Linked DNA regions of Mus musculus: regions 1, 2 and 3 are each reported to be linked to region 4. The links are microRNA targets in miRTarBase. Many come from high-throughput screens and were not tested one by one. Region 4 holds a microRNA gene; each other region holds the end of a gene's coding sequence.
The links. Region 4 holds the annotated microRNA mmu-miR-19b-3p (UGUGCAAAUCCAUGCAAAACUGA, at 2,644-2,666, shown strand). A microRNA usually pairs through its seed, bases 2 to 8, with sites in the 3' UTR of a target mRNA and lowers its output. Matches are read on the target gene's strand: a 7mer-m8 pairs with bases 2 to 8, a 7mer-A1 pairs with bases 2 to 7 and ends in A, and an 8mer does both.

Region 1: miRTarBase lists Ube3b as a target of mmu-miR-19b-3p. Seed matches in the 3' UTR shown: 7mer-m8 at 5,736-5,742.
Region 2: miRTarBase lists Slc36a1 as a target of mmu-miR-19b-3p. Seed matches in the 3' UTR shown: 7mer-A1 at 5,810-5,816 and 7mer-A1 at 2,498-2,504.
Region 3: the mRNA of Arl6ip1 is a reported target of mmu-miR-19b-3p. Seed matches in the 3' UTR shown: 7mer-m8 at 5,444-5,450 and 7mer-m8 at 5,151-5,157.

The regions. Positions count from the first base shown.
Region 1 is chr5:114,419,005-114,426,122 of GRCm38, reverse strand. Ube3b (ubiquitin protein ligase E3B) reads right to left here. Exons shown (of 28, transcript NM_054093.3): 28 at 4,954-6,645. The coding sequence ends at 6,454. Among named protein-coding and RNA genes, the nearest start is that of Mir7027, 18 kb to the right of the region's middle.
Region 2 is chr11:55,231,653-55,238,770 of GRCm38, reverse strand. Slc36a1 (solute carrier family 36 (proton/amino acid symporter), member 1) reads right to left here. Exons shown (of 11, transcript NM_153139.4): 11 at 2,441-6,404. The coding sequence ends at 6,133. Among named protein-coding and RNA genes, the nearest start is that of Slc36a1, 31 kb to the right of the region's middle.
Region 3 is chr7:118,114,298-118,121,415 of GRCm38, forward strand. It overlaps Arl6ip1 (ADP-ribosylation factor-like 6 interacting protein 1), which reads right to left. Exons shown (of 6, transcript NM_019419.2): 5 at 6,864-6,948; 6 at 4,593-6,113. The coding sequence ends at 5,995. It overlaps Rps15a (ribosomal protein S15A), which reads right to left and starts at 1,850. Exons shown (of 5, transcript NM_170669.2): 1 at 1,839-1,850; 2 at 812-949; 3 at 488-567. The coding sequence starts at 944.
Region 4 is chrX:52,737,539-52,744,656 of GRCm38, reverse strand. Mir19b-2 (microRNA 19b-2) reads left to right here and starts at 2,591; the gene lies at 2,591-2,674. Mir363 (microRNA 363) reads left to right here and starts at 2,890; the gene lies at 2,890-2,964. Mir92-2 (microRNA 92-2) reads left to right here and starts at 2,729; the gene lies at 2,729-2,819. Mir20b (microRNA 20b) reads left to right here and starts at 2,465; the gene lies at 2,465-2,544. It also overlaps Mir18b, Mir106a and Kis2.

The sequences.
Region 1 (7,118 bases), not on the chromosome of region 4:
CACAGCCTCGCTGGTCAGTGTGCAATGACATTTTGGTCACATTTATGACAGTGGCAGACCATGCAACATCATAGCTTTATTTGTGACTAAGCTCTTTGTGTCTGTACGCTGGTAAAATAGCCAAGAACATGTGTCTGAGAAGGTACTCCCACCAGAAACTGATGCGTGGCTAGTTTAATCCATTGGAGGGTCAGGTGGGCAGTTGACAGCTGGCTTGGGTGACTTCCCTTGCCTGTGTAAGTGCTTATGTGTGTGACACACACTGTGCTATAGCCACATTTGATCTCAGTAGTCCTCCCGGGAAGATGCCAGCCCCTTTTGCGGGCCTGGAGAGGATGTGTGACTGCTCCTAATCACAGTGACGAAGGGGCCCATGGTGGATCAGAACCTGAGTCTTCACCACCAACACCCGGAGGCCAGAGTGGGCTTTGTCAAGTCAGGAAGCAGCAGGGACCTCTGGGGACGCTTGCTGTGTAGGCATTTCATCAATGATATCTGATTGGCCTCTCCTTGTCCAGCGTGATCCTGACAGTGCTTCCTAACTTGTGCACACACCAGAAGTCATCTTCCTCGCTCCCATGTGGGGACTGGCTCTCAGCAGACACTGAATCCCAGGCCTGTGCGATGCCTGGCACAGTTGACCAACAATGTCTGCGGACCTAATGTGGAAGAACAACACCCGAGCCAGGCCCATCTACTGAATTTCCATGAGACACATATGTGCTGAATGTCCACGAGCCATGTATGCGCTGAACCTCCACGACACATGCATGTGCACTGAGGACAGGCCATTGGCTGACACTGCATCTTGGAGACCCAGCTTCTGTTTCCACTCCCCAGGGACCTGAGCTGCCCTGGCTTCTAACCACCTGCAGTGTGGGTACACGGCCTGACAACACTATCTATCTATGAGGTGTTTCTGAGGCTCAGCTGCCTCCTGCCATGGGATATTCAAGAACCCTGGATGACTGGAGACCACCCCGGATGGAGGTGGGCTGCTTCCATTTGATCGGCTCTTGGTGGTGGGAACCAACAGCTTGTTTCCCAGGGACCATTGGCATAGCACACAGAAAGGCAAAACCAGGAGCTATGGTTGCTACGGTCCAGCCAGTGGTGTGCTCACCATCATTATGAAAATATCTGGGAGCTGAGGGACAAGGAAGGCACACATGGTGTCCCTCTCCACAGAACTCGTTCAGATGCAGGAGCCATGCCCACTGCGGAGGACCCTTGTCTCGCCTGGTTCTTTGCCTCGGCTGGCAAGGGGTCTTTAGACCCACAGAGCTCGGGTGAGCTGAAAGGGTGAGGTCCTGGCCTTTCTCTTGCCTTCCTGGCTGCAGTGAGTTTCTAAAGGTCCAGGGAAGAGTGAATATCACAAAGCAGGCTGTCAGGAGCACCCCCGACCCTCAAGTCTTGTTCTTCCCTTTGGTTGGGAATTGGGGACCAGGGCCTGCTCCATGGCCCGTTGCTTCCTCTGAGTTTGCAAGACTTGGGAAGCCAGAGCTTGGGAGTTTAGTTTTTCAAAAAGCCAGTAGGGATGCTTCAGCAACGGGTGTGACCGTGACAGTTTCCAGAAGGCTTTGCTGAGTGATAGGGTCGGGAAGAGCTGCAGACAAAGTCCAGTGCATCCCTTTAAACTTGCCAAGAAGTGTCTCCCATCTTTCTGCCCACTCAGTCCCGATGAGGGGTTTGGCATAGCAGTGTTCCAGCCTGGAATACTTGCGGGACAGTTTCTGAACCTCAGTTTTCCTAGCTGTTAAGTGGGTATCATAATGGGGTAACACAGGGCACTGGACAGAGTGACCAAGGAATGCAATGACATTTTTTATTGGATTATAACTCCTTGGGACAGTGCCCACACTGCTTGTGGCTGTCACAACCCCTGTCCCAGCCTGCGGCACAGAAGTTCCCTGGGCCTATTTGTTAGGTGAATGAATGCCCGTCAGGCTTCCTGGGCCTGCTCCCGGCTGGAACACCTGCCAGCTGCTTAGTCCATCTGGCACCATCTGGGCCAGAGACAAAACCATCCAGCAGACTGTACCAAAGCTCCTACAGTATGCACAGAGGACCCTCCCTCCCCTGGACAGTGTCCTACGTGGGACAGAAGGTTACAGAGTGTACCGGAGCCCCTATAGGGAAAGGATCATGGATACAGATGCTGTGCAGGTGCCTAGTACTGGCAGAGGCCCAGGTAAGCAGCATCATGTTTGCCCTGGCATAGCTTTGCTCCCATCTCCCCCAAAGACCTCTCTTCCAAGCCTAACACGGCCTGCCTGTTTACCCCCCACTGACTTCAAAAGCCCAGTTTGGAAGCTAGCCTGAGCCCTGAGCCCCCGTTCCCCCATCCAGCACACACCCTTTGGGCAGCAGAGTCACACGGGCCCAGGACTGAGTCTCAGTTGTGGAGTTTTTGACTTGTGATCTCCTGCAAGCCTGTTCGCCTCTCTAACCCATGGTAGACTGAGGTCAGCTCCACCCCGGTTCCCAAGATCCCTGGTGGGTTTACAGCGATCATCCGTGCAGAGGCTCGGCACAGTGGGCAGCCTTGGCCATCACTGTTTGGCATGTGGTGCCCACGCTGACCTTGGGCTATCATGCCCACCTTTACACGTTTGGCCTTTCTGCTTCTGCCTCTGCCACAGTGCCCCCCCCCCCTTTTCCACCTCCATGGTGCCAGCTGCTGAGTGAAAACACACACACACACACACACACACACACACACTTCCTTTCTGAGCCTCTCCATCGAAACTATGCATGGTTTGCCCGTGAATGCAGATCAGGCTGCCTTTAAACTCAGCGGTCTCCCTGCTCCTGCATCCTGAGCGCTGGCATTAAAGCGGTGTGCTGCCACCCCTGACTCTGTATCCCTGGCTAGTCTTGAACTTGAAACCTTTCTGCTTGAGCTTGCCAAGTGCTGGGGCTGCCCGTGCAGTCCCACAGTGGAGCTAGCTATGGCAGAGAAAACTCACTGCTCCGTTTTCTCAGATGAGGAGAATGAGGTTCCAAGCACGGTGGACTGGACCAGTCTCGCCCACCTGACCAGCGATTCCAGCCGTCTGTCGGCCAGACGACCCACGGGTGTTACTACACAGGCATGAGCGCAGAGTGAAGCTGAGAGGTTGGCACTGCTCAGGTGCCCAGGGTGACCTGAATGTCTCAGAGGCCAAGTTCATCATTGTATTCTGTCTGCTGGAGCCCCTGGCCTTGTTTCTTCAAACCACCTCCCCTGCCCCCGTGTGCACCAAGCTCCAACAAGGGTCTAAGGGAAATTTGAAGGAGCCCAAGCCAGGAGCATTGTCCAGGGAACGAGGTGGAAGCTTGGGGTGCAGCCAGGGCTCTGGGCCAGGGGCACCAGCACCATCTTTGTCTGGACAGCAGATCTCTGAGATTTCTGACTGTTCCTACCCAGGTCTAAGATGTCTGCTGATAAATGTTCCTACCCAGAAGTCTGAAGAACAAAGGAACCCCAGAGAGAATGTTTACTCTGTCCCTGAGATAACCGGGAATCACCAGCTGCCCGCAGTCGGTAGAGACTGGTGTCTCTTACGCCCCCTTCTCTGCTGTCCTAGAGGGGAAACTGCGGTTCCAAAAGCAAGGGGCTCTGGCCTGAGCTCTCAGTTGGTGGGCAGCAGGGCTGGGACAAGAGCCCTGTGGCAGAATGCGCCGGGCTCTGGATGGATGGTGGAGTCCGTGGCGCAGGCTCCGGAACAACCCCACCTGTTACACATACGCTCATCAGCAGCGTTGGCTGTCAGGACCACAGTGAAGAAATGATTTCATTAGGAACGAGGCACCAAGGGGTGGGGACCGCTGGCCTGGGTCTTGATGCAGTCTCCTACACTGGTCTCATGCTGTCATGGGAGGCACAGCCCGTTTCTGGAGATGCACACTCGGGCAAACTCCTCAGGTGTGCAAACACTTCAGGCCAGGCTCCTGGGGGCTGAAGTGCATTTGCTAAGGCACTGTTCCACACAGATGAGTCCCCAGCCTGTGTAAACTTCAAAGAAATGGCAGGTGACCTTTATTCTCTGTCCACCCTGGCTGTGAGGGAGTCGGGAGTCCGGAAGCTTGGTCAGAGGCTCTGGAGGGTGGCCCTGGCCCTTGCTTTGTTTTTTTTGGTCTGAGACCACATGGGTCTGCTGTTTATCAAAGGCTGACCGGAAGCTTGAAATCTTCCTGTCCCGAACCCCTGGATTAGACATGTGGTGACACGGGAACCTGTGACCCCAGCACTCAAGCAGCTGGGGCTACACAGTACACCCAATCTCAGAAAGTAAAAAAGAAAGGACCCAGGGCACGCCACATTCATATAATGACCAACTTAGGGAGAAGCCACCAACTCTACCTGATCCAGAGGATAAAGGCCAGCAGCTTTGGCACTGCCAGTGGCATTTCCTCAGGGTTTTGCGCCAACTAAATGTTCACGAGCACCCACAGGTCCTGCTGGCCTATCAAAATATCCTGCTTGCTGCATGCTAGCTTTTTGCGCTGGCAACTTCAGTTCTAAAAGGTACAAAGCCAGAGCCAGGCTTTAGTTTTAGGTGGGTGAGCACCACACTGCAGGAGATTATGTGTCTCGGGGCGGGGGGGTCTGCAGTATTTTTCTGTTAGTGGGGACACTGGGGCATCTGAGCTACCTCAGGTTAGATCCATCTTGAGATATCTGGTTTCTCTCCCCATCGAACAAGCTGGCTTCGGTAGGTGCCACATACATCATAAACTGCAAAGCTACGCATGTTGACCAGGTACCCTGCCGGGTGGGAGGGAGCGGAGGGAGACTGGCTCTAGGGATGCTTCTCTGAAATGTCACTTCAAAGCTGGGCACAGGTGACAACTCCTAGCTCAGCTCCAAGGCCAGGATGTCAAAGCAGCTCTTGTCTTCCCGCTCCTATGGGTGCTTCATGTGACCCAAACCGTCTGGGCACGGGGCTGTGTAGAAACCAGAACAGAGCCGTCGTGTGCTCAAGTACAAATTTAATAAAGCCCTGACAAGTCTTAGTCCACGAGTTACCTACAAAAACAAAAACCCCTGCTTCCTTCTGGCGCCACCAGGAGCTGCTGAGATGTCATCAAACAGCAGCTATGACATAACTGCCGGGAAGCAGACTCTAGGTGACCGACAGACAGCCCTAGGTCAAAGACAAAGGGGTCAAGTTGATATCGGTGCTTACAACTAACTCTCCCGTGTGCCCGCTGTAACTCTCAGGCTCTGTGTTACCTGTGCAGGCTGTGCACGGGGCACAGGGCTCTGCGGGCAAGCTGGGAACACACATGGTTGGCAGACGTGAAGCTGGAGCCACCTTCCAGAACCCCAGGGGCTTTCCTGGGCCTACCCCATGCTCCAGCCCAAGATCTTTGCTAAAGTGAGAACAGGGCACGGCCACTTCCCACTGTGCAGGCTCCTTGGGGAAGGCGTTTTCTTGCTTTGAGCGCTGTAGCCCTAAGCTGGCTCCACGGAGTGGAGGAGGGGCCAGGACTCCTCCATCAGGGTGGGAGGGAGACAAGAACCTGATGAGGCAGGAGACAAGTGGCTACTAGCAGGTTACTAAGCCCTGGGCCTCTGCCTCAACATCCTGAATCTGGAGAAAGTTCTTAAGGGAAATGGGGAAAGGGAGGGCCCAGGAGCGCAGTGTGTGGGAAAAGAGAATGAGGTCCCAGACAAAAGAGCAAGCGCCAACAGAGGCGGTGTGGAGATGAGATGTGTGGGACGTATCCTCAGCTCCCAGGGCCTGTCAGTGCAAAAGGACGGACTCTGAAGTCCCTGGAATAAAGTACTGCCCAGGCGGCTGGGCACTGTAGGTAGGGTCTCATGTGGTTCTCCGTAAGGTGAATAGGGGGCAGATGCCCAGAGCGAGCAGGCTCTGGGTACTCCAGAAATGGGCTGTTCTCCAGGGGAACGATGGGTTTCTTTCCCAAGCTAGGACACTGATGCACAGGCCAGGGGCTGACAGCAAGGGTTCCCTGACAGCGTGGCCTGCTGAGGACTTGGGAAGGAGGGCTGTGGTGTGGACCACCTGGATCCCTATAGGAGAGACCCTGACTGTGCTCAGTGGCCTCCCTGGCAGGAGCTGGGCTTGGTTGCCTGGGAAGAGGCCACTGTGGACAGGGTAGAGGCAGGGACTTTGCTGTGCATAGAGGCTTGGCGAGGCCGTACCTGAGTTTTCAGAACGGAAGGAGGAGCTCACAGGCACAGGCCTTGTGTCCTCCTCAGAGGGCAAGAGAAGAAAGCCTCACAGAATCTCCAGGAGTTGCTCTGTAATCACTAGGCCCAGGTCTCAGGCCCCACAGGGCAGAACTGGGGGGTTATTTTCATCAGCCCTCTGTCCCCAGTGCATGGAGGGCACTGTGTAGCATCCCCAACCTTGGGTGTCTCATGGCTATTGAGAGGGTCTGAGGGCTGTGGGTACCCTGGCCACACTCCTGGGGGCTCTGTGGTAGCGAGACCAGGCTGTGTTAGGAGAGCTCAAAGCCCGTGTTCATGCTGATGGCATAGCGTAGTTTCTCTCGCAGTACGCTCTTCTTGCTGTAGTTGGGCAGCTTAAGCAGGTTGAAGCAAGTGGAAGATGTGGGCAGACGCCCCCCTGGCTCCCTCTTGCGGATGGTGAAGAAGCCCCTGAGGACGCTGCCCAGGGTATCCCCAGTGTCCTGCAAGCACACACACAGCTTTGGGTCAGAAGGTGCCTACACAGGAGTAGGATATGCCCAGCTCAAGGCAAGGGCCTGAGAGGCTGAAGAACACCTGCCTTGGGGCACTCACACCTGCCCCCAGGCACTCACACCTGCCCCCGGGCACTCACACCTGCTGCTGGGCACTTACTCACACCTGCCCCCGGGCACTCACACCTGCTGAGTCCTGTTCTAGGTCAACTAAGACAACAGGCTCCTGACCGACAGACATGTATCAGCTAACTAAGGCAGCCTAGTACCCTGTCTCTGTCGGTACCACAGCCCATGGCCAACTAGCACTTGACTCAACTTGGCCCAAAATTTGGAAGTGGAGGACCATCTAGTGTCTGACCCATGGGAACACAGCCTGAAGGCTGCCGGCCGCAGAGAGGTGGTGAGGCAGGGACACCCTGAGACCAGCATGCTTTCCCAGGGCACCCACATCTGAACAA
Region 2 (7,118 bases), not on the chromosome of region 4:
AAGTTGAGTCCCAGGTTGGGCATAGACAAGGGCAGCCTGCTAGGTCAGGCACAAGTAATGATGTGAAGACTCAGGGCACCCAGCAGGTCTTGGGGGTGAGAAACTTCTCTGTGCCCTCTAAAGGAGATGAAGCAAATGAGGCATGGTGAGAGTGGTGGGAGGCAGGAACCAGGGGTCTCAGGAGGCGAGTCCTGGCTAGTTAGAAAATGTGAATCCCAGACACATTTTTAAAAACCCTCTAATGTCTCTATGTGCAAAGGAGCTATTGCCAGAAGTTTCTTTCCCTTTAAATAAGATGCTATATAGAAAACTGTTGATTGTCATTGACATAACGTCTCAAAACATGATTCTACCATTACCATTGAAAAGGCAGCCAGCCTCTGAGTAGTCCACACATCCGCACACCTTTGCTCCAGGGCCAAGGGCAGAGTAGAATGGAGAGATGGGAGGTGGCTCAGTGGGTAAGAATGTTTTCTGCACAAGCGTGAAGACCTGTGTTCAGATACCCAGAACCCACATTAAAACCTAAGGTATGGACATACATGCTTACAGCCTGTGTCATAGGGGCAGACTAGAGAATTTCCGGATTTGGCTAACATCCAGCCTAGCTCCAGGTTCAGTGAGAAATCTTGTCTCCAGGGAGTAAGCAGGATACCCAACATCTAGGTGTGCACACTTGCACACATATATATGCATATTATCACAATATATTTTAGAAGGCAACCATCTACATTTCTTTTTAAAGATTTATTTATTTATTACATGTTAAGTACACTGTAGCTGTCTCCCAACACACCAGAAGAGGGCATCAGATCTCATTATGGATGGTTGTGAGCCACCATGTGGTTGCTGAATTTGAACTCGGGACCTTTGGAAGAGCAGTCAGTGCTCTTAACCACTGAGCCATTCCTCCAGCCCCAACCTTCGACATTTTTATTGATATGGTCTCACCAAGCTGCACATTGAAAAATAGGCAAATTTTGCTATATGTAGATCAGAATTCAATCTATTTAAAAAGATGAGGGAGACCATGGTCTATGAGAGCGGTTCTCAACCGTCCTAATGCTGCGACCCTTTAATACAGTTCTGCGTGTTGTGGTGACCCCAACCATAAAATTATTTTTGTTGCTACTTCATAACTGTATTTTTGGTACTATTATGATTCATGATGTAAATGCGTGTGTGTTCCATTGGTCTTAGGGGGACTCTTGTGAAAGGGTCATTCAACCTCCCATCTCCGAAAGGAGACTGAGAGCTGCTGGTCTAGGACAAATGTACCATTCAAGATTCACGGTCTCCAAGCACATCTGCAAAGGGCAGAAATGAAGAGGCTGCCTACCTAGGAAAGCCGGGTCAGCTCACTGTCAGTCATACCGGTCAGCTCACTGTCAGTCATACGCATGTCTCCAGCAGAGCAGGGCTTACCTTGAAGAACTTGGAGATCTGGGGTTTGAATTATAGCCATTACATAGGAATGGAGCCTTGATGCAGACGATCATGTAAATAAGTGTTGACTCCCTTCAGTTTTCTAAGCCCCGCATCCTTCTGACACTCCCTTCACCCTCCTGGCTGAGGCTGTAAGCAAAGGGAAGAGGCAGGTACCAGGAGAAGCACAGGAACTCTGGTACCGACCCCTGCTGTGTTCTAGTTCCTTGTGCCCCCTGCTGTGTTGTGGTTCCTTGTACCAGCTGGTGGCCTGTAAAGACTGACTGGCTCTTTCTTTGGGACCTTGGGTTGACTCAGTGTATGTGTGCACACACAGTCATGCACCAGACAAGGAACATGAGTGGTTGGCCACACATGCAATTGTGACCTAATTATTTATTCTGCCTGGTGACTCAGTAGGCATTTCAGTTAATGTAGGTAAATTCTCTCTCTCTCTTTCTCTCTCTCTCTCTCTCTCTCTCTCTCTCTCTCTCTCTGTGTGTGTGTGTATGTGTGTGTGTGTGTGTGAGAGAGAGAGAGAGAGAGAGAGAGAGAGAGAGAGAGAATATAGAAACAAATTTCAAAGGAGAACTAGCTTAGCTGTGGCTGACAGGTGTACAGTTCCTAGGGCTGGTCTCCACTCAAGTGTGGAAGCTGAGAAGCTGGTCTTGTGGTCTGGAGATAGGATTCCTCCTCAGGGAGGCCACGGTTTAAGAACTTTTGGATGTGATGAAGCCACCCACACTAGCAAGGGTAATCTTTACTTTGTCAACTGCTCTAAATGTTAACATTTGCAAACACCCAGGCTCATATTTGACTGAAAAACCAAGCTGATCCCTAAAACTACCCACTGGTATATGCAGAAGGCGACCCAGGATTTCGGGAGAATATCGAAGTGGTTTAGGGAAACAGGGTTGCTTTCCCTTTCTCAGACCCCTGTCCCTTTGTCAGATTGTCCTAACTCAGTGATTTTTTTTCCCTGAAGTGTGAAAACAAAGACACAGTTTGCAACCTCTCAAAAATAAAAAATAAAATTCATTTATTGAAGTGGAAATTTAACACAAGATCCATATGTGCAACCCAAATGAGACCTAGAAGCTCTGACATGACCCACACATGTACACAATGCACATCTGAAGCTATGACATGACCCATGCATGTTCGCAATGCACATCTGAAGCTCTGACATGCCCCACGCGTGTACGCAATGCACATCCAGGTAGGCGCCAGCACACGGTACTGTCTGGCTGTTAAGACTCTCTGTAGGGCAGTTCTCTCGTTCCTTGATTTCAACATATACTGACAGCTTTACGATATAGACGTGGGATTTTATTATTCATAAAAAAAAAATTCCAGCTTCTTCAACATCGGCTTGATTTAAACCAAAGAACAGGGTAAACACCAGGCTCCTTCCAGCCTCATTTTCTGCTGCTTTTTTTTGATAACTGCTTATGAGCACGGTTTAATGTCTCTGACCAGTGAATGGCTCGGGACACACAGAAAAAGAAGACACCGGCCAGACGGAAGCTGGCGCGGCCAGCAGGACTAAAGTGCCTTCAAGTATTGACCACAGTTTCAAAGATGAGCCACATGGCCCGCTTTCCCCTAATGGTATCTGATTTGTAATGTACTTTGGAAAATTAAATTCTCAAGCCAGCTTGGCGCCACCCTCCTGATTGCCACGTCCGACCACTCTGTCTGGTTCCCATATCAGGCCCCAGAAAGCCTCAGTGTGCCAGTGGGAATGGTGGCTGGGGCTGGCTAGCAGGGAAAGCAAACCCTTGTCCAGAGCCCTTGTCGGGCAGGCAGGTGGGCGGGCGGGCATTAGAAGGGGGTAGTGAGTGCTGTAAACATGATCTGAGCTCTGCACTTCCTGGAAGGATCAAGTGAAACAATGGAATCCAAAGAGCAGACACTGACGGGAGGGAGAAATCTGAGGATGAGACAGCCTAAGGACAGGCTCTGGGATCTAGCTTCAGACCACTGATCACACTTAGCACAAGACTTCCAGGGGAAGAGAGCAGACAGGAGCACCTGCCCATAGGTGTGGCTAGTGAGGTGAGACAGGTGGGCCTAAGCTAACCTCTACCTCTCCCGACCCAGACAGCAGCACAAGTGATGCCACAGCTAAGGGCACGGTGGGTTGCTCGGGCTAGATCACATGCTTCCCAGCAAGTGCTCACATTCAAGTTTTCGATAACTGGCCTCTGACTTTGGGTACAGACAAGGAATGGGCTGGCAAGGATGGGGCATGTCTGCCTCTGGGGCATCTGGATTCAGGCTTAGTTTCCACAAGCCTTGTCTATATTGTTCTGCCCAAGCTCCCATTTATCTGTTTTCCCACCGGGGGCCATCTGGCTCCAAACTGACAGTGGGAGGGGTCAGGAGGGCTCTGACTCAGGGCTCCTGTGGGCGCCTGGGCTGTGTGTGGCGCCTGGCACTATGTGCTTAGCAGCTTCCTGGTGTCCATCCAGAAAGGCCCTGACCTTGCTCAAAGAGTCAGGTCACCAAACTGACAGTACCTCAGGAGTATAGCAAGAGGTCAAAAGATGTGGGCCATACCAAGGTACCAAGGAAGCTGCCCTCAGCCAAATGCTACAGAAGGCACACCACACCGTGTCAGGCCAGGGGCCCTGAAGAGTAGCTGGCCTTGGACAATGGGTCTAGACCTGGGTAGGAGCGCCTGTAAAAGTTCAGAATAGACTTTCTTCCCACCCAGGAAGCCAAGCTCAGGTGGCTTCTAAGAGAGAGCCTGGCCCACAGTTGGGTTGCTGGCCAGCGTCTAAACCTACTTTGGTCACTTTCCAGCCTGAGACTTCAGAAAGCAAGGCGTCTGTGAGTCCCAGCTGGAACCAGGCCACATAAGCACCTGTGGGGATGCTGATGCCAGAAAGGGAAAAAAGCATTGCTCTCCTCGGGGCCAAGACAGCAATGGCTACTCCTAGCAACGCTGCTAAGGACAGTGGCTGCTGTAGCCAGAAACCATCCTTCCCATCCTGTGACCTAGAAGTCACGCAGCAGGCTCTGGACAGAACAGCGAGAAGGGGCTTGGCTGCAAGGTTGGGCCACTAGCTTCTGTCAAACACAAAAGCAGCACTCTGATAAATTCTTGCTTCTTTCTCTAACTCGAGTTTCAAGGCAAATCCTATCTGTAGTTAAGAGCCTGGTAACCAGAGAGGAGACACAAACCGCTCTGTAGTGTGCATATGTGTGCATGCACACGTGTTCACTATCACACACACACACACACACACACACACACACACACACACACACACACATAACCCAGAGATGGAGAGCCAACAGCTGTCCTTTGGGAATCCTGACATCAACAGGGGAGCAGTGGCAAGTCATGGACTCTCAGTGGCCTCTAAAGGCACACCCTAAGATGACTGACCTAGAAGCCAGGTGACTCTGTGAGAGGCATAATAGGGGCAGGTATGGGCCACAGTTAGTGTTTAGTGGTTCCTTGGAAGCCCAGGATACAGAGGCAGCTTGGGGCAAGGCAGGGATTCTGCTCTCTCCCCAGGAACTGTAAACAATGACCCTTGTGCGTAGTGTCTATGAAGAGGAACTGCGCCCCGTCCTTAGCCTTGTATACACGAGTACTTCCGAGTGCCCATATGGAGTCAGTCTCATGAATGGAAGTCCACAGAAGCATGGGGCTTCCAGAGGCGGTGCATGCTCACATGATCTGCTTGAGGTCTCTGAGCCAGCTGGGAGTGGCAGCTCATGCTAGTAACCTCCATACTTGAGGCAACGGTAGGAGAACTGAGAGCCCATCGTCATCCTTGACTACACAGCAAGCAAGTTCAAAGCCAACTCTGGTGACATGAGACCCTGTCTGGAAACAAAACAAAAACAAAACAGACAAACAAACAACAAAATGGCCAAGAGGGCAGGGCGGAGGGCATATCCAAGGTCCCCTGGAGCAGGTGTCTTAGTGGAAGGAGAAGCCAAGTGCCAAGCTGCTGAAGCTGTGATGCCAGGTCTGAAGTCAAGAGCCTGAACCCTAAGCTTAAATACACCGTAAATACCTCCAGCCTGAGCAGTGTCTCATTGTCTTTAAAGAAATCAAGGGGCAGCACTGTGACCTACACAGAGGAAACGAGAAGAGGTGACGTGGCCTGTGGGTTCCCCAAGTCAGACAGCAGATGGAAACCTTCAGCATTCAGGGCTGGCTGTAAACTATTGGGGGTGGGGGGGCATCCAGAACCCTCTCAGGACTCAGCTGGGTGGAACAGTGAGGTACAGCATTTGGGAGCCTGATGAGAAAGAGGCCTGGCTTTGTAAAACATGAGAGTCCCCACTTATTTAATCTAGGCCTGGCCCAGGAAAGGAGAAAATGTCGGGAGCCAGAGACTACCTTTTAAATAAAGTGAGCTGTGCAATGGGAATAATTTAGGCGTGGCTGGTCAGACGGGGGGGGGGGGGGGGGGCGGGGGGGTGGCGGGGGGGGCAGTGCCGAGGGAGGAGGCGTGATGAAGGAGAGCAGCGACGGCACCATCACAAGTGGAGGGGCTGCTCCCCGCCCTCCCCCAGTCTCAGTCTCATCTAGCCCAGGTTACCCAAGGGTCCAATGCCAGATAGAGCAGTGCCCAGGCAGCAACCCTGCCTTTTTCCAGAGGCTGGACTATACCTGAGGATGTGGGGACACTACTGGGAGACACACAGGGTGAGGCTGGTGGAGGGAGCACACCCAGATCCTTATATGAAGGCACTGGTGGAATTGGTAGAGGAGTCGCTATGGCTTGGCTGGATCAGCTCACACAGAGACTCGTAGGTCCCCACCACGAAGCCCACGAAGCCCAGGATGCTGATGAGGGCATCCTTGGTGACGGTCAGGGGGCTAATGCCCTCTCCATAGTAGGTGACCACCTCCAGCAGGGGCGGGATGATGAGGGCCAGGGCGCTGCTGCTCACAGAGCCCACCAGGGAGATGACCAGGTCCAGGCGTGGGATGAGGATGGCCAGCACACCTGCAGAGAGAGGGGGACGTCTTTGTTCAAGAGTGCCTGGGGCTGTAGGAGATATGCTCATTGCCCAGAAAGTTTGGCCTGGGTCCACGTTTAGAACTGAGAACTCGAAGGAAGTTAAGATGCTATCTAGTCCAATCTTGGGCAATATGTGATCAGATTTACAGAATTACTGTGGTCTCCTGGCTCTAATCTCACGTCTATATGTATGTATGCATATGTATATATAATTTATATATTTATTTTTTGACAGCACTGTCACAAGTTGTACCTTACTATGTCTCGAATGTCTTATTATGTATCTTAGGCTGACACTGAACCCGAGATCCTTTTGCCTCAGCCTCCCAAACACTGGGATTACAGTTGGTTACTACTCTCCCAGCTGGACAACTAGTCTCTCCCAAACAGACAACTGGGTGAAGGTAGGGGTGAAGAAAAGTGGGTGGGCCTTTCTAAGGGACATTCACTTCCTCACACTGATAGAGCCACAAACACATCAGTCTTCAAGCACTAAACACAAAGGCCCACCACACATTCCCATCTCCTCCTCTTCAGGAGACACCATGATAAAACCCGTGACAAGGAGGACAGGGGTGGTTCTGCCTGAAGACTGCCCTCTAGGAAAAGCCCACTGTGTCAACCAGCCATGTCAGTCTTGGGACGGTGCACTATGTAGGCTTTTCGATGTCTAGAAATTCATCTTCAGAATTCACAGTG
Region 3 (7,118 bases), not on the chromosome of region 4:
ATTAAAACTGACGAGCAGCCTAGAACTCAGACAGCTACAACCTACACCAACAGACCATGAACTCTTAGCCACTTACTCAAGATTAACAATTTTATTAAAAGCCAGCACACCACTGGACAAGTGCATCGTGTAACTTTAATACAGCAGTTTGACAGAGTATAGATCAACCTCTCTATGTGTTGAGACTTCCATCTTGAAAATAAACAGGCCACACACACCACCAGTACAAGACTGAGTTATTCATACACTGAGCCATAGTTTAAGCTACTGAAATCAGCAGTTTCCCACTCCAGCGTTACCAGAGTTTAGCTCTATCCCACACAAAACTAACCAATAATTTGAACAAGTAACCAAAGACACCAAGTGAAATGTGGGTACTAAAACAGAAGCATAGCCTTAGCCAATTCCTTAAATCAGGGAAGTAGAGCAAGAATGACAACACTGTGAAGTGGCAGACAGCTGCAATTTGAGAAGCAAGATGTCTTACCTTGTTCAACCTTCCTGTGAGGTTCACAACAATCTTCCCAGCTCTGTGATCATCAATGATCTCAAATTCACCAATGTATCCTATAAAACAAGTGACCAGCGTCAAACCAGACATCAATTTGAGACCTAAACCTTTACGCCAACACTAACTTTTTGCCTATTAGATTTTTCTCTCATCTGAGTCTCTGCATCAGAATTCTGAAAGCTCCGTATCACATAAAAATTTTTGGGAGTTAGCATCAACACACCCATTCTTTTCTTGAACGGTTACTGTCTTTCCCTCCCAGATCCAGCACTGTCAAAAACCCAAGACACCAATACTCACCGTGCTTCATCATCACGGTTAAGAACCGAACGATGACTTTAGAACATGGCCTGATGAGGACCTGGCGTTTGCCTCTCTTCTCAGCGTTGTTGATGCTCTTGAGAGCATCCGCCAGAACATTCATTCGCACCATGGTGGCTGTGGAAAGAAAAGCCGGGGTTTGCATCAACACCCAATCATGCTGTCCTACCCCCATTAGCTTTTCCTAGGTCTAAGCAACATTCCCAAGAACCAGGAAAAATTCACTACAATTTCCCGACTGTTCAGCACTGTTCTTCAGAGTCTAGCCCTCCAAGACACTCCTATTCATACCACCCACCACACAAAATAGCTGGGGAGAGAATGACACAAGCCGAGCCTCACCACACAGAAGATAGCCTTCGAAATGGTGGGACCGACCAGCTAGCCAAACTGAAAGTGGGGGTGCGGGAACTGTCATTAGGAAAAAGTTCTGGCACCGTCTGCCAAGATTTTCAAAGCCAGCAGTGTGTCAAGAGGTTAACGCGACTTAACTCATTTACAGGTAACCATTTAACACACAGACACACACACACACCCCCTTTCGGGAGAAGAGGCAGTACGTGACAGGGAGCCCAGCCAGCCTACTGAACGGCCACAACCCATAGGCTACCTCCACGGCTCCTCAGGACGCTGCCAAGGCGTATTTTACGCGCCAAGAGTAAACCACGACGTGGTTCCCTAACTCGGCAGTGAGTGGCTGAGCCTAACTCCCCGCGCCAACCCTGGCCACGGCCGCGTGGGACACTCGGGACTCCAGAGCTCCCGCAGACACCGGAGGCTGCAGGGCCCACGCGGGCCACCGTCCCCGCCGGCCCGAGCCGAGCCCGGCCTGTTGCAGTGGGCCGGCTCCCGCAAAGGGCTACCCATAGCCCCCGACCCCGGCAGACGGAGACTACGGCCCCTGCAGGGATCTATAGGCCCACGGGACTCCGAAAGCGAACACGGGGTAAAGGGATGGCACAGATACCACACGGATGAACACGGAGTTTCACAAACACTCACTCACCGGCGAGGGAAGATGGCAGAAAGAGAGTGGGCCGGGCAAACGCACGGAATTATGGGAAGCGGAAGCGCTATCGCGAGACTTCATGGTCACACACTTAAAAAAAAAAAACCCAAAACCCTGTGATTTCTTATAGGACAACCAATGCGAGGGCGGGGCCTCCTCTGGGAGGGGCAGATGAAACTAGAAATGGTGGGCTGCTAGTCGCTCTGAAACTCGCGGCAGTCCTGCCTCAGCCTCTAGGGTTTTGGCATTAACGCCACTGCGGGTTCTTGCGTTTAGTTTTGTTTGCCACAATGAAACTCACTAGGTAGCTTCGGCTGGGCTGGAACTATGAAGACCAAGCTGACTTCTAGCCTCCACCTGCCTCTGCCTCCCAGTGCTGAGATTAAACATCACAGCACTTGGCTTTTGTTATTATTGTTTTGGTTGGTTTGGCTTGAATTTGGCTTTTGGAGACCAGTAGTGGCCCAATGCTGTCCCCGGAGTCATGAAAATCTTGACTAGTAACAGGGATTACTGCCATGGTCCGCTTCTCTCGCTCTCTCTCTCTTTTTTTTTTTTTTTTTTTTTTTTGTTTGTTTTTTTGTTTTTCGAGACAGGGTTTCTCTGTATAGCCCTGGCTGTCCTGGAACTCACTGTAGACCAGGCTGGCCTCGAACTCAAAAATCCGCTTGCCTCTGCCTCCTGAGTGCTGGGATTCAAGGCGTGTGCCACCATGCCCGGCTTAAGGTCCACTTTTCTTCCTCCTCCTCCTCTTATTATGCAGCCCTGTGATCTGTCTGCTTCACTTTTGTAACTGGGGTTACACTCCTCCTCCTCCTCCTCCTCCTCCTCCTCCTCCTCCTCCTCCTCCTCCTCCTCCTCCTCCTATTATGCAGCCCTGTGATCTGTCTGCCTCACTTCTGTAACTGGGGTTACACCTCAAGTGAATCTGTTGACTCCTAGCCTGGACCATTAAGCTTCAAGCCTACAGAGGTTCGGGAAGCTTCGTTCATTGCTGTTCACACTAAGTCTGGAGAAGCATCTGCCACATAGTAGGTCCTCGACATATAGTTGAAGAAAAAACTGAATGGACAAATCAGTTTCTCCATCTCTAAAACAGGGATGATAGAACCACTCAGAGGAGCTTTTGAGAGACCACACAAATGTGGCAGTGCTCAGCAGTGTTTGGCACAAGATTTATTTCCCCCAGAGGAACAAAGGACAGGGAATGAGAGACAAAGACAGGAGATAGAAGGTGAGGGAGAGGGGAACAAGGGAGAGGGAGGGAAAGGATGTAAGTCCTGGGAACAAAGAACTGCCTCTGCATAGAGAGGAGACAGGTGTGGCCCTTGAGCAAACGACAGTTTATGAGGGTAAAGGGGGAAAAAACCTCTTGTTAGGATGAAGTGTCTAACTCTGGTTAGACACGTTAATTAGGGTAGCTGCAAGGGGACTTTTGGTTGCTGGACCTCCATCCTTTGAAAGCTGGACCTTGGTAGTCAGCCTCAGAAGGAAGTGAGCAAATAAGTGACCAAATAAGAGAGCTTTAGGAATGTAACCTAATAGTTTTTAGAAAAGAGGAAGGGAGAAGAAAAAGGCCCGCCAGAACCATCTTTGTCATGCTCTGGCCGCCAGAGTCCCCTTCATCTTCTCTCACAACAGGGGAAGTCTTCATTCCCAGTCATAATTCACCCCACAAAAGGACCACAGGCTTTCCCAAGGTTTATAAGGATTTTGAGCACAGGTCTATTTCAGACTGACCTCAAACTCACATCCAGTCTCCCAATTTCCTTAACATGGACCCAATAGGAATGACTTCAGGAATTCAGATCAAAGCAGCAGTGGGGAGGGGTGGTAGTTAATGAATCTGAGATCCTAGTTAGTTCTGTGGGGATTTGGCTAGCTGATCCCAGTGTTGTGACCTTGGTGTGCCACAGAATCTAGATGGCCCCAGGCTGATGAGCTCCTAGAGGGGGTGTGTGTATGTGTGTGCACTTGTATAGAAATTGGGAAATTTGGGGTGGCTGGGCTGGAGGGAAGTGGAAAAAAAAGAACCCAGTAAAAACTGACTCACGTTTGTGATTTGTTAGAGGCAAATTAGAACTAATCAAAGATGAGCTGCTGGCATTTAACTACACCTTACAGACACTTAAAAACTAGGTTGGGTGAAGTGACACATGACTGTTTGAGGTGAAGGCAGAAGGGCCAGGAGTCCAAGGCCTACCCAGGCTTTCTGTGAGCCTGTCTAGAAGTACCAAAGGCCCAGACCTACAGGGCACAGATCCTAATGTCTGTCTCCATGTGAGCCTGAATGTGAGAGAACCTCAGGAGGGCACTCAGACACAGCTGACCTGAGCAATTACCACAATGAGAGAACAGAGTTTTCTTTTGTGATTTTAAACTTTTGAAGTCTTCCCATGAAGTCAGGGCTGGCCGCAAGAGATTACAAGTCAGCAATTTCAAAGCCATAGGATTTGTGACTTTACTTGAACTTGCAGAAAGGGAAGTATGCTTAAGGGTGGATGGAGCCTGTTCCCAATGAGACCGCAAGTTATGACACCCAAATTTTAAAAGGCAGACAAATGATTATCAACTACTGATGATTATCAACCACCTGCTTTGGGAGCTTAAGTACACGATCTTTTGAGTCTCCACTGTCTCCTCCTCTTCAGTGTTCTCCCTTTCCATCTGACATGGGTACCTTAGAGAAGAGCTCCAATGACAACAGGTGGTCACTAGTTAGATTCATAAACTCAGAGTTAACAAAGAAAGTGAGACAAAAGGGTTCCAACTGGTTTTTAATTTTTCCCCTTTACCACAAAACAAAGAAGAAATGATTAAAACTGCCAAAGTAGTTAACTCGTAGAACATGTATTAGTCACACACACACAAATTCCAGGTAGGAAGGCAGGCTTATTTACAAGAAAACATGTAAAATCAAAGTGGGAGTCATGAAACATTAAAAAACAAACACACATGCTACAAGAGGCACCGCTGCTTACAGTGCTAGGGAGGTGAGAGAACAGATACACACAGGGGCAGGCTTCACAGCATCAGTGCATGGATCCACAAACTATGTTACAGCTAGTTCATGGGTTAAGGAGTTGTTCCCAAATGTCCTATTTTGGCCCTCAGAGGTTCAGTTCTGCAGATTTCAACTGCTCTAAAAGCCCCCTACTGAGAGGGCACGTGATCACAGTAAGCTTAAAGAGTTGCAAAAGCTAGGCAGACCAGAGTCACCAATCAGCAGTCTGCTCTCAGCTGCAGCCCTGCATTTTTCTGAGAAATGTCAAGGGGAAAGTCAAACAGCAGTAAACACTTGTCTCTCAAGTGCAAAGCTGGAGGCACTGAAATACAGCCAATACTACGAAAACAAGTGAGATTTTCCAGGCTTACTCTTAAGCCTCTTTTTTTTTTTTCCTGGTCTTAAATATTAATAGATAATCTAGTTTTCTACTCATTGAACAAAGGATACTTTTATCCCTGGCTGCCCTTACAGGAAAGTCACAAACATTTTAAGTCAGCTGACAATCTGAAACAAAGAAACTGCTACAATCCTCAAATATAATCTTCTGAAAGCTTGCTGCTCAAAGGCCATTATGGACTAGAACTAACCTGAAGCAGTGCAAAGGGAATGAGAGGTCAGTCAAAGCCTGCCAGTCCTCACAGGAACAAAGGGGCAATGCTCCCTCAAACTGTTGCATTTCCTATGAGCGAGGAACTTACACACACTAGGGTGTGGAATTAATTTTTTATCTTATTCCATGGGTATTCTCCCACAGTGGAAACTCAGGAATGAATTTTAAGTGGTCTCCTCAGCAGAAGTGGTAAACCCAATCTCTGTACTCACAAAGACAGTTTGTTAAGCAGACAGTAGAACCAGCTTCCTGTAGCCACAGACCACTGCCTTGAATATAGCTAAAGCAAACATCAACAAAGTCACAGTTCACTGTACAAAACAGTAAAGTTCACCACTTAGCATCTTAAAGGAAGGAAGTTGTCAAAATGAAAGGAAGTCACACTGACGGGGAATGTACCCAGCTACACCTGGCACTAGAGCCCGCACAGAGCCTGGCCTGTGAGAATTTCTATTAACAAGGGCAGAGTGAGGGAAGCAACGAGCCACTGTAACACTTCAGTGCCCAGGGCCAGGGCACACTCCGCGGCAGCCACACTACTCATTTTTCTTTTCTTTTTGCTTGAGAAGTTTGTTTATCTCCCTTTTGGCCATTCCAATGTACTTCAGAATGATCCCATGTTGGTTTAGTCCAGGAAGCAACAGCACAAATGTCACTAGAAATGAAAAAAAAAAAAATGAAGTTGAGGAGACAATATTTAACTCTCTGAAGATGACTACAGTTGAATGTGGGTGGACTGTGGAGAAGTGACACAAAAGCCATCCAACAGGATTCAGCCCAAAACTGCAGCCAAGGTGCCTCCTGAAGGTGCACTCACGCTCACACTACAGTGCCTTCTATCTCACTCCTCTTTGCTCACGACCTACCTGGCTTTAATGAACTCCAGGAAAACAGAGACCAGTCTTTTTAAAAAAGATTTGTATTTTATGTGTATACACAAGTGCTTTGTCTAGAAGCATATATGTGGAATATATGTGTGCCCAGTGCCCACAAAATCCAGCAGAGGCTATCAGATGCCCTGAGACTAGAGTCATAGGTTGCTGTGAGCCAGGAATTGAACCAAGCATGTTTTTAGCCATGGAGCTCTATCTTAAGCCCTGACTTGAATCTCTAGCTGGGCTGGTTTTGAACCCGACCTGTAGCATATAGAAAGGGATGACCTTGAACTTCTACTCCTTCTGCATCTAGGGCTGGAATGACAGCTTTATCCAGTACTGGGCATCAAACCCAGGCCTTGGTGACACAGGGCACAATCTGAGCTGTGACCCAGCACAGACTGGAACCTTTCCTTCTCACCTTGCCCCACTCCCATAGGTCCTGTGAAAACTCAATCTATTTACTGACTACACACCACAGTCAGACTTCCCTGCTAAGTTGAACATGTGATGTTTCTTCAACGACTTACCAATCAGGTAGGTGAGAAGCAGGTTGTGAACTTGCTGTCCCACCCAAGCCACCGCAGCAAGAGAAATGATCATGGTCATGAAGTACTGGCAAAAAAAGAGTAACAACTTAGCTCCCAGCAACAAACCAGCCAGTGCAACTCTGAAGCCTGGCCTCTCTACACTGCACACAGCAACCACAGCCTGAAGGCTTGCCTCAGGTGCCTCAACACTACACAGAGCTCCAAAGACATGCTATGTTACACACACAGCTTCAT
Region 4 (7,118 bases):
CCGAGTGGGCGGGGGCGGGCTTTCCCCCCTAGGCTATTAAAGGCGAAGGGCGGGCTTTTCCCAGGGATCGGGCTTTGGGACGCAGCTCGAGGTGACGGACCGCTGCCACAGGCTCGTGTGCACAAGTGGTGCTGCGCGGACACTTTGGGGGTTAGGTGTGCGTGGGCCGCCGGGGCGCGTTTCCTGCACGTGGCTCCTCGCCGCCCTCCCTCCTCCACCAGCTAGGAGAGCAGAGGGCCAGGAGCTCTAGGAAGATGCGTGCGGTTCCCTGATCCTGGCAGGCAGGACAGCAGCGGGATGGTCGCGCGCGCCACCTGCCAGGGCGGGTCACTGGCAGATCCCCTACGCGCTTGTTCTGGATGACTGGACCAGGAGATGCGTACCTCCGCGGGCGCAGCTGTGATCCCAGAGAGTTAACTAAGGTGGGAGGGGATGGAGCTGGCAAGACTTGAGAAAAGCAAAGTACCTGAGTGTAGTTGAGGGGTGCCAGGCAACTCGTGAGAAAAGGACTCTCCCTTGTTGCTCTGAAGGTTTCTGGAGAACTTGTGGGTGGTCAAATGCCAGGGTGCACGTGGGGTGTGGGGCGGGAGGACTCCCGACCTACCTTGGTTTCCCTCCCACCAACCCGAGAATGGAGGGAGAGGCTTAAGCTTGGCGCGTTTTGGGGGCTTTGAATGGAGAACTCCGTTTCCCATAATGCTTTGTTTCTTTCTGTTTAATTTTGGTGGCCGCTAAGGTGTCTTGAAGACCTAAGCGCGTGGCATGACTGGCTGGAGCACACCCTGCGTTCCCAGGAGGTTCACAGATCTCTACTGGAGCCGCTGCTGAAGATGCGGGAATAGACCAGAGAAAATCCCGAAATGGTAAAAGACTGGGTCCTCTTTGCAATTTTAGAAGTTGTACAGCGACTTTCTAGTATATATGATGGAGAGCAGATGTGTTAAAGAAAGGTATTAGCTAGAAGGAGCTTTCTCTGGAGGGCTGAGGTATGGTTTTGCGAAGTTGAGTCAGGTTTTGTAATATATTTTTAGTGGAGGCAAAAATCTCTAGTTGTAGGAACCCAGTTCAAGAAGAAAAGTATAATAAGCCAATACTTGCACTATAGGAAGCAGATTTCATATTTACTTCAAAAGTTTTGCTAATTTATATTTAAAATGTTTTAAGAACTATCTTAGTCACTAAGTGGCTTCGAAAAGTTCCAACATTTAAAATATCCTTTCTCATTGAACACATTTCAAGTTTTGTGTCCCTGAAGTTTATTGGTGTCCCCCCATCAACACAAACATTCCATCATGGGAGGGAGGGAGCTCGTGACCCCTCAGACTGTCCTCTGCAGCATTTTCCTGGGTAAGATACACACTTGGAAATGAGAGAGGTTTTTCCTGTGGAAGATAATGACATGAAGCCAAAGAGCTAATCTGACTTCTTTAGGTTTAATGGAGAAAATGGGTCCATAAATGTTTAAACAGAAGTAGAGCCCTTTGAAATAGATGAAAATGTGACATCTCTAGGCCATCTGTGCGGTATGTGAAGAGTGTAAAACTGTTTCTTAAAGCGGCTCTGAAATTTCTATCATTTTCTCTTAATGGGCTGGGGGCAGGGATGCTTCATGTAATCAAACATAGAGACCTTCCGAGTGGCTCCCCAAAGCTCTGGATGAGCTCAAGACGTCAGTACTCACCCTAATGTTATTTATTTATTTTTTTGCTTACATCTTTTCCTGGGCTCTTGCCTCTTAGAAAACCATGGTGGATATTACAGCTCTGCAAATTTTCTGGGATGCGAATCTCAAATTTCCTTAGACGGAGAGGGAGTCCAAAATCCTCTTACTCTTAAGAGTCAGACATTCTGAGATTGCCAGTGTTATTCATGTTTAAGTCTGTGTAAATAATTGAGCTTATTAATGTTTGAAGTAACACAACCCCATTTGCACTCTTAACGGAAGGCAAACTTGTTTTAGAAATAGTAACTCACAGTTCACTTACTTGCTGTGTGTGTGTGTGTGTGTTTATCCAGGTGAGTCTGCAGATCTGGCAAAGAAGAGTTCGTGGAAGACTTCAAGGTTACACTCCTGGAGTATGCCTTGGCCATGTCAAAGTGCTAACAGTGCAGGTAGCTTTTTGAGTTCTACTGCAGTGCCAGCACTTCTTACATTACCATGGTGATTTAATCAGAGGCCGCTGAGTCCCCTGGTTTCTGCATAGTTAGATTGTGGATGTTTTTGAGCTGCTCCTTGTAATGTGTCTCTTGTGTTAAGGTGCATCTAGTGCTGTTAGTGAAGCAGCTTACAATCTACTGCCCTAAATGCCCCTTCTCGCACAGGCTACTTCTTACCTTGCATTTGAAAAGCATATCTTGAGAAATGATTTGAACGGCACAAGTTTCAAAGGCTCTTTCAGTGTTTCGCCGAGAAACAGATGGCGGAGACTGTAGTATACAGTTGTGTAGAAGAACAAGCTCGGATCCTAGTAGTGCCAAAGTGCTCATAGTGCAGGTAGTTTTTATACCACTCTACTGCAGTGTGAGCACTTCTAGTACTCCTGGATCAACCAAGGTCTTGTTGAAGCAACTACAGCGCAAGGACATTGCTACTTACGATTAGTTTTGCAGATTTGCAGTTCAGCGTATATGTGAATATATGGCTGTGCAAATCCATGCAAAACTGATTGTGGGAATGTGTACCTTTCTGCATCGTAATGGACACCTTTATGCACATCTTCAGCATCCATGCCCATTCATCCACAGGTGGGGATTGGTGGCATTACTTGTGTTAGATATAAAGTATTGCACTTGTCCCGGCCTGAGGAAGAAAGAGGGTTTTTAATCGTCTTTTAGTTTCTGAGTATTGTAAGTTATGTTAGACTGTAATTATGAAATGAACTGTTTTGCTGTTATCAGGTGGAACACGATGCAATTTTGGTTGGTGTAATAGGAGGAAAATTGCACGGTATCCATCTGTAAACCGCAGGACCTATGTGGACAGCCGTCTATCAGTGCTATAGTAAGATTGTAAAATCCTTTAGCTAGTCATTGCTTTGAACACATTTGGAGTGGATTTTTTTTTTTTTTTTTTGGTTTTTCAAGACAGAGTTTCTCTGTATAGCCCTGGCTGTCCTGGAACTCACTCAGGGTGGCCTCGAACTCAGAAATCTGCCTGCCTCTGCCTCCCAAGTGCTGGGATCAAAGGCGTGCGCCACCACGCCCAGCTTGGAGTCTAATTTTTTAAAACTACATATTTTTAAATATATTTGAAATCCTGACATTTTGATTGCACTGAATGTAAACAAACCTGAAATTTGCAAAATAAAGCTGATATATAAGTCTGAAAAAAAATGGGTTTCTTTTTTCTTTTTTAAAAGATTCTATTTATTTATTTATTTATTTATTTATTATATGACAAGTACACTGTAGCTGTCTCCATAGACACCAGAAGGTGGCATCAGACCCCATTCCAGATGGTTGTGAGCCACCATGTGGTTGCTGGGATTTGAACTCAGTACCGCTGGAAGAGCAGTCAGTGCTCTTAACCACTGAGCCATCTCTCCAGCCTGGGGCTCTCTTTTTTTTCTCTCTTTTTTTTTATTAGGTATTTTCCTCGTTTACATTTCCAATGCTATCCCAAAAGTCCCCCATACCCACCCACCCCCACTCCCCTACCCACCCACTCCCCCTTTTTGGCCCTGGCGTTCCCCTGTACTGGGGCATATAAAGTTTGCAAGTCCAAAGGGCCTCTCTTTCCAGTGATGGCTGACTAGGCCATCTTTTGATACATATGCAGCTAGAGACAAGAGCTCCGGGGTACTGGTTAGTTCATATTGTTGTTCCACCTATAGGGTTGCAGATCCCTTTAGCTCCTTGGGTACTTTCTCTAGCTCCTCCATTGGGGACCCTGTGATCCATCCAATAGCTGACTGTGATCATCCACTTCTGTGTTTGCTAGGCCCCAGCATAGTCTCACAAGAGACAGCTATATCTGGGTCCTTTCAGGAAAATCTTGCTAGTGTATGCAATGGTGTCAGCGTTTGGAAGCTGATTATGGGATGGATCCCTGGATATGGCAATGGCTCTCTTTTTAAATTAGCAATACTATTGGCTTTTCTAAAATAGCGTCTTGGTATGTAGCTCTGGTTAGCTTGGAACTCAATTTGTAAACTAGGCTAGCCTTGAACTTGCGGAGATCTGTGTGTTTCTGCTTCTAGAATGCTGAGATTAAAGGTAGGCACCCCTCCACTCCTAGACTTCCAGCATTTACATACATTTATCTATCTATCTATCTATCTATCTATCTATCTATCTATCTATCTATCTATCTACTTATTTAGTGTGTGTGTCATGTGGTGATTTGAGAACAACTGTAGGGAGCTAGTCATGTGGGTCATGGACATACATCTTAGATTTCTTAGGCCCGATGGCAAGTGCCCTTCCCCCACTGAGCTGAAAACAAATTTTATAGGGTATGTCTTGAAGGAACATTTGAATATAACTGGAATTTAAGTTTGCGTTGAGTCTTTGGTTTTATCACTACTGAAAACCCTGCCAGTCCCATCTCCAGAGAGTGACTGTCATCAGGTGAGCCCTCAGGATTTGCCTTTGTAACCCAGTCTCAGGTGCTGATGGTGCTCGCCCAAAGAACTATAGGTTAAAAAAAAAAAAACGCCCGGTTCTATTTTAAGTTTCAAATTCATAAAGTTGAAAGGACTCAGGCACATTTTTTACCCCACTTTCTCATTCTGTTTCATGTGTTAATGTTAACACTGCCCTGTCTTTGGTAAGTGGAAAAACTAGGTAGGTATGTGTTGGTTTTACCTATCTGAACATTGAGTTCTCATCAGAAGGGAGAGGTATCACTATGTGTCATTCTTTGTGCCTTGGAATTTCCCAACTTTGAAAGCCTTTTATTACTTTTTGGGGACCTCATTACATAGGTTCAATTTAGTTAGAATTTTTTTACTGAATTATACTTCACCTTTGAGCTAGTTCCCTAAGCTTCCATTTCATTAGGGAAAATACAGTGATAACATTGGTCCTACACCAGTGAGGTGGGGCTTCTGTTCTCCTTGGGAGGTGAAGAGTGGTCAAGAACATGGATTTTAACTGCTGTGATGACATGAAATCTTAATGAAAAGAGATGGAGGCTAGTAAATTCTCTATTAAGTATGTAGGATTTTCTTAAGTCACTAATGTTTGAAGTAATTACAGAAACAAAATAATGAGATACTTCCTGTGCTATGACTTAGTATTTTATTGGTGCCTAATTGTAGTTAAGTTTGATGTGGTAGCAAAGACCTCCTTCCCTTCTAATAAAGTAGATTTAAAAAGTGGGGATTAAAGCTTATTTGTTATAATCTTTAGTACTACTAGGGGTCTGCTTTAATACAAGTGTATTGCCATTGGTAGTCCACTGGTACTTAAGGTGGCACGTATCCAGAAGGTAACTGTAGTTACTAGTTTTACTAGGCATGTCTCGAGGGGCTAGGGTAGATCACTGCCTCCTAAGAGTCCCAAGACCTTTGTCTGAAATTAAAATGATGGCTGATCTTGATCATAGGGCCTTTGCAAGTCTTGAAAATTAAATTCATTATTTTATTTTTGGAAACAGGTGGTTCCACCCCCCCCCCCATAGCCTTGGCTGTCCTGCAACTCACTCTAAATCAGGCTGGCCTTGGATCTTCCTGCCTCCTGAGTGCTGGGATGAAAGCTGTGTGTCACCACTGTTCTTCGAAAATTAGGGTTTTATTCTTGTTTAAGTTACACACGAGAAGTGGAGCACTTGCCTAGCACGTGAGAGGCACTGGGTTTCATCTCCTGCACCACAAACAAAAAGTTAGACTATAAAATAATTGTCTTGTGCTTAATGTCATTTGTGTAGAGCATTTGTGATTGAGGAGATTTATATTTGTTATGGGAAGAATTAATAATATATGTATTCAGACCCATATAGATAATCATTTTCTGAGCATTTCAGTAAGTTTAGTGGACAGTTACCGAGCAAAATTACTACCTTTGAGTAAGAAGGTAGTCTCATGGGCTTCTCAAAGGTATTGGATCTTCCTTGATGGAAAAGTCAGTGTGACATTGTGACTAATTAAACCAACTAGTTATGATAAACAGTGATTTGGAAGTTGAGGTGTGGCTTTAGAAATTGTCATTAGTTTTGAAACAGAGCATAGCAAAAGGGGTGTAGAAACTATGGTACAAACTTTTAGGTGAGCCGAGCAGGGTGGCTCCCACCTTTAATCCAAGTACTCAGGCAGAGGCAGATGGATCTCTGAATTCAAGGCCAGTTTAGTCTACAAAGCAAAGTCCAGGACAGCCAGGGCTGTTATACAGAGAACTCTGTCCCAAACAAACAATTTATTAACTGAAAGAATCCTCACTCCCAGGTCGTAGTCCATCCAGGTTTACTCTACCAAGAAAGCAGACTTGAGCAGTGATTGGTTGAAGGTGTGTCAAGTAGCCCATCAGAGATCAATCTGATAAATTCCAATTTGTAAACAGGGAGAGAAGCATCGAACTTGGGCAGGGTGTGGCAGAAAGTACTTCCCAAAAGCAACATCAAAGGGAATAGGCCCCAAGTAGAATGAACACAGGTGGAGCAGAGCAAGGAGGGGCTTTGAAGGCAGTTGTTTCCAGAAGAAGCAAGAGAAGGAATGGGTACTCAAAGAACTGCACTGAGCAGCCGAGGAAGGGGTGTAGAAAAAGAGGCCTGGGTTCAACTCCAAAGACAAGTATTAAAAACAAAGGAACTGTTGAATTCAGACCATTTCATATGTGTGAGGGGACAAGTAAGCTAGGATCAGATCACACAATTCTGTCCCAATGAGACAGAATGAAAGGTTCTTAGGTTTCAGTTTGGTAAGGTCTACCTGCCAGCAGTGAAGTGCCCATTTGGCCAATTGGGCCAGAGGCCAGTAGGCTATTTTCTAAGTGGGAGACAAGGGTTTGATTCACGACAGGAGGAGGGCCAAATAAATATAGGCTAAGGTATCTCTCACCAACAAATTCATGGACATATTTAATAAGATTTTGCCCACCATCTCAACAAGAGAGCTTCTAAACTTTTCTATAATTCCAAAAGCCATTTGCAAGAATATACAGCGGAAAATGGTTACATAGAC